Linked DNA regions of Mus musculus: region 2 is reported to be linked to region 1. The links are microRNA targets in miRTarBase. Many come from high-throughput screens and were not tested one by one. Region 1 holds a microRNA gene; the other region holds the end of a gene's coding sequence.
What was found. The annotated mature microRNA mmu-miR-1195 reads UGAGUUCGAGGCCAGCCUGCUCA and lies in region 1 at 2,869-2,891, shown strand. An mRNA with a match to its seed (bases 2 to 7 or 8) in the 3' UTR can be bound and repressed. Matches are read on the target gene's strand: a 7mer-m8 pairs with bases 2 to 8, a 7mer-A1 pairs with bases 2 to 7 and ends in A, and an 8mer does both.

Region 1 (4,150 bases):
CTTCGACCCTTAAAATTCTTTTTTTTTTTTTTTTGGCAATTGTCCTTTTTTAAAGATTTATTTATTTATCTTATGTGAGTACACTGTAGCTGTACAGATGGTGGTGAGCCTTCATGTGGTTGTTGGGAATTGAATTTTTAGGACCTCTGCTCGCCCAAAGATTTATTATACGTATGTACGCTGTACCTGTCTTCAGACACACCGGAAGAGGGCATCAGATCTCATCACGGATGGTTGTGAGCCACCAGATAGTTGCTGGGATTTGAACTCAGGACCTTCAGAAGAGCAGTCAGTGAGAATTTTAAGGGTCGAAGCCTCAGGACCTGGCAGCCCTAACAAGCTAGGTGTGGTCAGCTGTCCACCGTCACACAAGGGAAGGGAAGAAACCAAAAGCAGAGAAAGGATGTTTATTCAAAATGGCCACACTGGGGAAAGGAGCAAGCAACAATACCCAGTTCACCTTCTTACCCACTGAGCCACCCCGTCAGCCCGACCCTTGAGATTCTTGTAACAGTAATATATAACTGTAAAACTAAGTAAGACTTCTATAACCTGATATTAAAAGCATTTTCAATTACATAATCATTATATATTTATATTATACATAATATTATACATAATATAAATATTATAACTGCCAGAAATAGAGCCCTAAACACATACCCAGAATATAGAACACACAGGTTTTGTTTTAATTGTTGTTTTTAGGACAAGATCTCATAGAGCCTAGGCTGGGCTCCAAACCTCTGTGTAGCTAAGTAAAACCTTGAATTCATAATCCTCCTGCCTCCAGCAGTGACTACAAGGTGGGCAGAATCTGTGGGTTTGACTGGTGTCTGGGTGAACTTTTCACTTAGTACGGATTTCTGCTAAATGTACAAGTGCAAGAAAAAAAATTGTAGAGTCAGAAGAATGAGAGGCACAGTGTGGGACACAATGAAAAACACTCAGATGGGGGCTGGAGAGATGGCTCAGTGGTTAAGAGCACTGGCTGCTCTTCCAGAGGTCCCTCGTTCAATTCCCAGCACCCACATGGTGGCTCACAACCATCTGTCATGGAATCTGATGCCCTCTTCTGGTGTGTCTGAAGACAGCAACCCTGTACTCACATACATAAAATAAATAAATCTTTAAAACAAACAAACAAACAGAAAATCACCTAGATGTATTTCAAGAGAGCGCCAGTCAGTTGAAGAGTGTGGAAGGCAGAATTACTTGAAGTAGGGATGTTTTGTCTTTAAACCCCCAGACCAAAGGGAGGAAGCAAACAGGAGTTAGTTACCAGTGGCAGGTAGGGCTGTTCTAGCTTGCTATCTAGGACTAAGTACTCATTACCCTGAGGTAATGGGACTAAGTACTCATTACCCTGAGGTAATGGAAAGCAGGTTGCTTGTGGTTAGAAAAGAGGGCGCAGATATGAGAGGCGGGGAATGGAAGGCAGTGCTGTGTTTGCTGAAATTGGAAGCACAAAATAATGTGGGCCCCTCCTTTCCTCCACTACACCCCATCACACACATACTCTTGTTTTCACATATACTCTTACCTAGGTAGCCCAGAGTGGCCTCAAATTCCAAATTCCCATGCCTATCTCCTAAGTATCAGAAGTATAAATATATAGCTGTTAACCATTGTACCCTGCTTGAATTCATGATTTCCAACATATGAAGGTGTGTGTGTGTGTGTGTGTGTGTGTGTGTGTGTGTGTGTGTGTGTTTAGTTCTGCTGAGAAACCCAGAAGTAAGCAATCATGGTTCAGTAGCAGTGCACTAGACTGGAGCTCATGTTGATGTCTATAAGTGATTCTCTTTTCTACAAGAATAGCCAGCACTTGCTGGAAAAATGATCAGTCCAGGGCTTGGGGACTGGAGCAGGGGAAGTGTAGCATGCACCTGAGACACGCCACTGTCCCAGACGGTAAGAAAATCTTCCAAGAATGGTACAAGAGGACAAGGAAACCGGTTTGGGGACTATTGGTGCTGGCTGCTGCTGGGGCAGGGACAGTCACTGCCTTCAATTGTGTGTTCACTGGGTGAGTCTACCAACTTCAGCGAATGCTTCTATACCCAGTGGCACGTGAACCACTGTGGTTAGACTCAAGGGGTGCAAAACAAGAAGGCATGAAGGGGCTCGAGGGTTGTGCAGAGGTTAAGAGCACCTGTTATTCTTGTAGAGAACCCACATGGGGCTCACAACCATCCAAACTGCAATTCCAAGCATCCAATGCCCTTTTCTGGCCTCTGCAGGTAGCAGGCACACATGGGGCACATGAGTACATTCAGGCAAAACATGTAATATTAAAAAAGAGAGAGAGAGAGACATGAACATGTCAGAGGGACTGGAGGGGAAGATGAGAAGACAGGGAGAATAATCAGAATGCACTGTGTATATATCAAATTGTCAAAGAATAAATTAATAAAAAAACAGTTTGAGGAACTTCCTCTGGGTAAATCCAAGAATTTTTACAATAGTGGTGGTGATGATGATAATAATAATAAGAGGCTATTAATGCACTAAATAAACCAGGACTCCAAATGTCCTGTAAGTAGACAGAGCAGCACAGACAACTGGAGGGGCAGCTCTCCCTACCATAGGACACAGCAAAGCAATGGAGAAGGAATGATGGAGTGAGGAGGCTGAGATTGAAGGCTTCAAAGACAGGACATTCACCTATTTTGATACATTTGATAGATTTATCAACCATAAAGGAAAACATAATGCCCACAGTGGAGAGTTTGGGACACATCACCTTAAACATGAGATCAAGGTTATAAATAAATAAATAAATAAATAAATCTGCCAGGCAGCCGGGCTGTGGTGGCGCTCGCCTTTAATCCCAGCACTTGGGAGGTAGAGGCAGGCAGATCTCTGTGAGTTCGAGGCCAGCCTGCTCAACAGAATGAGTTCTAGGGCAGCCAGGAACACACAGAGAAACCCTGTCTCAAGAAGGTAAAAAGTAAAAAAAAAAAAAAAAAGAAAAAGTAAAAAAGAAGAAGAAAAAAGAAAAGAGAGAGAGAACAGTCTACATTCTGAGGGGAAGCTGTAGTAGCTACACAGTATTGAACACCACACACAAGGCTTATACACACGACACAGTCAAGCCTGCATTATTTGTAGAAATTTAAAATGTCAAGCTAAAAACTTGTTTCTATTCATGAGCACAATGTTAATTTCTTGCCATTTAATGAAGATGCCCTCTTGAGATGGACAGACGGCAGGACAGTCTAAAGCACTGGCCTTGATTGGGTGCACAAGCCTGACTGAGCTCAGTTTGATCCCCAGCACCCACTCGAGTACAAGGGTGTGCCACGGTAACCCAGTGCTCTCAGAAAGAGATGGAGAGTGGAGACGGAGAATCAGCAGAGCTTGCGGACCACCTAGGCCAGAGCACTACTCAGTGAGAAGCAACAGAAGAGACTCCATCCCCCAAAAAAGGTGCAGAGAGAAAACAGACTCCTAAAAGCTGTCCCCTGACCTCCACATGCCTGAAGGACACCTCCCATATCTCTGTGTGTGTGTTTTACAGAAAAAGGAAGGAAGGAAGGAAGGAAGGAAGGAAAAAATATAAAGGTTTTTGTCTTTTTGCCCATGGTCACTTGAATCATGAGACAAAATAAAATTTTCTTCCCTTAAATTGCTTTTTGTGGAGCCTTTGGTTACAATAACTATCCAATTCCAACCACAGGAGGAAAAAAAAATGTGTGAAGATTCGAGTGTATTTCATCAATCAAACAACACAGAACAAACTGAGCACATAGTGTGTCGGGTGCCAGCAGAAAGAATAGAAACGCACATTGAAGAGTAAGCCTGCCGGGCGGTGTTGGCACATGCCTTTAATCCCAGCACTCGGGAGGCAGAGGCAGGCAGATTTCTGAGTTCGAGGCCAGCCTGGTCTGCAGAGTGAGTTCCAGGACAGCCAGGGCTACACAGAGAAACCCTGTCTCGGAAAACCAAAAAAAAAAAAAAAAAAAAGAGTAAGCCTGCTGGAGCAATTTTTTATCTCTTTATTAACCTAAATAATGGGTTATTAGAACTAAAAGCATTAAAGTGCCAACTAGAGATGAAAAGTAATTGTTCTCTCTGGAGAAACATTTAGCCTTAGAAGCAGAAAACAGCAAAAGACAATGGGGTGTATAATTCTGGGGTGACCAGA
Region 2 (4,000 bases), not on the chromosome of region 1:
TTTTGATTGCTTCTGTTTATGTGTACTCCATGTGTGCTTGATGCCTGCAGAGGCCAGAAGAGGGCGCCAGATTCTTTGGAACTAGAGTTACAGGTGGTTGTTAGATGCCACATACTGCTGAAAAGCCAGTCTGGTCCTCTGGAAGAGCAGCCACGGTTCTTAACTGCTGAGTCATCTCTCTAGCCCCAAAGACAAAGGGCCGCATGCCTTTAATCCTTGAAGAAGCAGGGTGATCTCTGTGAGTGCAGAGCCAGTCCTATCTATACAAAGAGTTCTAGGGTAGCCCGAAGTACATAGTGACCCTGTCTGTGAGAGAGACAGAACAGAGGAGAGAGAGAGAGAGAGAGAGAGAGAGAGAGAGAGAGAGAGAGAGAGAGAGAGAGAGAGAGAGAGAGAGAGAGAGAGAGAGAGAGAGATTTGACCAGGACTCGTGTGTCGATTTGAAGGAAGCGAACTAACCTGTAAAGTGGGCTTACAGGGGAAAGGAGTGTGGCTAGATGTTTGGGAGGGGCCAGAAGAGGCGGAGGTTTTTTTTGGATGGGCTTTCTTGCATTGTACCGTAGCCAGAAAAAGAGAAGGCACGGTCAAGCAGAACTGAGCAGAACTCTAGTTCTGCTTTGATAAACGGGTTGTAGGGAAAGGGGAAATGCTAGAAAGAGGTAGGAGGTTACTGCCTAGTCTAGAACCGGGGTGGGGTGGGGGTGGGGGTGATCCAGAGCTCCGAAGTTAAGGAAAGACAAATAAATACCTTTTGGTATTTGTCCTCCAGCAAGAAGCGGAGCTCTCTCTTTCGGAAGATCACAAAGCAGTCGAACCTGCTGCACACCAGTCGATCGCTGTCCTCTTTGAACCGGTCCTTGTCGTCCAGCGACAGTCTTCCGGGCTCGCCCACGCACGGACTACCCGCACGCTCGCCCACACATAGCTATCGCTCTACACCTGACTCCGCCTACCTAGGTATGTTCTGCGCCTGCGCGGGGTAGGGGACTAGGACACTGAGGTGCTCAGAATGTTTGCACCTTCTCTGGCCTGCAGGCGCCTCGTCACAGAGTAGCTCGCCAGCTTCCAGCACGCCTAATTCCCCCGCCTCATCCGCCTCGCACCACATCAGGCCCAGCACCTTGCACGGGCTGTCACCGAAACTACACCGCCAGTACCGCTCAGCGCGCTGTAAATCGGCTGGCAACATCCCGCTGTCACCTCTAGCGCACACACCATCCCCGACGCAGGCGTCGCCGCCGCCGCTGCCAGGCCACACGGTGGGCAGCTCACATACCACGCAGAGCTTCCCTGCCAAACTACACTCATCGCCACCTGTCGTGCGCCCGCGCCCCAAAAGTGCAGAGCCACCACGCTCGCCGTTGCTCAAGCGCGTGCAGTCAGCGGAGAAACTAGGGGCTTCGCTGGGAGCAGACAAGAAGGGCGCACTGCGCAAACACAGCCTGGAAGTGGGACACCCTGATTTCCGAAAGGACTTCCATGGTGAGCTGGCCCTGCATAGCCTCGCTGAGTCTGATGGTGAGACGCCTCCTATTGAGGGTCCTGGGGCGACCCGGCAGGTCGCCGTGCGACGCCTGGGTCGCCAGGAATCACCCCTAAGCTTGGGCGCGGACCCGTTGCTACCCGATGGTGTCCAGAGACCTATGGCGTCAAGCAAGGAGGATTCCGCGGGAGGTACAGAGGCTTGCACCCCACCTCGCGCGACAACCCCTGGGAGCCGGACCCTGGAGCGTGACTCGGGTTGCACAAGGCACCAGAGCGTGCAGACTGAGGATGGCCCAGGTGGGGTGGCCAGGGCCCTGGCCAAGGCAGCGCTAAGTCCAGTGCAGGAACATGAGACAGGCCGGCGCAGTAGCTCTGGTGAGGCAGGCACACCCCCGGTGCCCATTGTTGTAGAGCCTGCTCGGCCAGGGGTCAAGACCCAGGCACCCCAGCCTCTGGGCACAGACTCCAAGGGATTGAAGGAACCTGTAGCCCAGATGCCTCTGATGCCTGATGCCCCAAGGGGCAGGGAGCGCTGGGTGCTAGAGGAGGTGGAAGAGCGGACCACGCTAAGCGGACTTCGCTCTAAGCCCGCCTCCCCCAAACTCTCTCCTGACCCCCAGACTCCAACCCTAGTCCCAACAAAGAATGTACCCCGCAGTGCAGCTCCTTCAGTCCCACCTGCTTCCCTCATGGTCCCAGGCACCAAGCCTGAAGCAGGGTTGAACTCCCGGTGTCCTGCTGAAGCTGTGACTCCTGCAGGCCTCACCAAAACTGGGGCACCTAGCCCTGCATCTCTAGGTCCATAGCGGAGCAGGCTTTCGGTGCTGTGCTGTACAGATGCCTGTATACATATGTACACATATAAATAAAGTGCCCATGCTGCCTGAGATTCTTGGGGTTCACACCTCCTCTCTGGACAGGAATGGCCCTTGGCTTCTCAGAAAGTAAGAAGGTGGCTTTCATTAGGGCCTTCCTATGTCCCATCCACTGCCAATTCCACACGTGGTAACAGCTTTTGTAAGGAAAAGGTGTCCCACCCCTGGTCTGTGTCTTGGGCTCCATCTTAAGAAAAAGGTTACCAGTGCCATGCACAGAGTTGGTTGTATTAACAACCTCTTAGAGACATGCTGTGATGCCCATTTTGCAACAGACAGCTAGAGGTTAAGGCACTGTTAAGGTCTCCAGTTAGGAAGGGACTGAACTGGTATTCAGATTCATAGCTGGGACAGGGAGTGTGGCTCAGCAGCACTGTACTTGTGTCCCATGTGGTAAGCCCTGGGTTTAACCCACCAACAGACACACAAACAAATTCAAGTCAAAACTAGTCTCTGAGTCTTTTCTTTCTTTCTTTCTTTTCTCTTTTTCTTGTTTTTCTTTTTTTTTCTTCTTCTTCTTTTCTTTGAGACAAGGGTTCTCTGTGTTGCCCTGGCTCTCCTGGAACTCTCTGTAGACCAGGCTGGCCTGGAACTCAAGAGATCCACCTGAGCCGGGCAGTGGTGGCGCATGCCTTTAATCCCAGCACTTGGGAGAAAGAGACAGAGGCAGAGGCAAGCAGATTTCTGAGTTCGAGGCCAGCCTGGTCTACAGAGTGAGTTCCAGGACAGCCAAGGCTACACAGAGAAACCCTGTCTCGAAAAACCAGAGAGAGAGAGAGAATCGATCCACCTGCCTCTGCCTCCCAAGTGCTGGGGTAAAGGCTAGTCCGGCCCCCACCTGGTTAGACTGCGGAGTCTTAGTCCTTTGCTCCGATGGGCTTCAGTCAGCTCCCCTCTATACAGGGTTTCCAGTCTTTCACCAGGGACTGGAAGGCCTTCCAAAAGGAAGGCAGTTGGGTGCATACTGTGCCGCCACCTCGGTGTGTCTCTGCTTTGTTCCTATTCATGTCACCCACACAGGCCCAGGGCCCTTGAGGGGCCACACACCATTTGGAGTGGTCCTCTGTGGCACTGAAAGTTAGTCTAGATGGGCCAGGGAATCCTGTCTGTGTCACATCCAGAACCTGATAGGCTCCAGAGCAGTTGGAGGGCAGGATGCCTGGAGAATTTTGCCAGAACTGGACCTGTAGGTTGGTGCCAAGGGCTTCTGCCAACCATCCGGAGTACAGGTCTGCAGGGGAAGGAAGGATGAGGTGAGGGCCACTGGTACATTCCTCGGTATGGCTTCCTGCTCGGCTCAAATGTCTACTTTTGGAATGACGTGAACCTAAGCAGCCCCTATTAACAGGTCAGGTCCCTCTTCAGGTCACACCTGCAGCCCTAACACTCAGAAGCTGGAACAAGAGGCTCTCAGATGGAGTCTAGCCTGGAATGTACAGAGAGGTCTTACACAAACACATAGGCTGGGCATGGAGACTCGAGCCTTTAAAGTCTGCGCTGAGACAGTAGAGGCAGATGGCTCTCTGAGAGTTCCAGACCAGCCAGGGATACACAGTGAGGGCCTGCCTCCCCACACCCCTAAAGGGAATCCTTACCAAACAATTATGTGTTATTTCACAACCCACTAAGGGAACCCTTAA

Region 2: miRTarBase lists Dnase2a as a target of mmu-miR-1195. Seed matches in the 3' UTR shown: 7mer-A1 at 3,075-3,081 and 8mer at 3,046-3,053.

The regions. Positions count from the first base shown.
Region 1 is chr17:70,859,299-70,863,448 of GRCm38, reverse strand. It overlaps Mir1195 (microRNA 1195), which reads left to right and starts at 2,849; the gene lies at 2,849-2,946.
Region 2 is chr8:84,910,277-84,914,276 of GRCm38, reverse strand. It overlaps Dnase2a (deoxyribonuclease II alpha), which reads right to left. Exons shown (of 6, transcript NM_010062.4): 6 at 2,574-3,591. The coding sequence ends at 3,245. It overlaps Mast1 (microtubule associated serine/threonine kinase 1), which reads left to right. Exons shown (of 26, transcript NM_019945.2): 25 at 770-957; 26 at 1,036-2,424. The coding sequence ends at 2,291. Gm38426 (predicted gene, 38426) reads right to left here and starts at 942. Exons shown (of 3, transcript NR_103491.1): 1 at 749-942.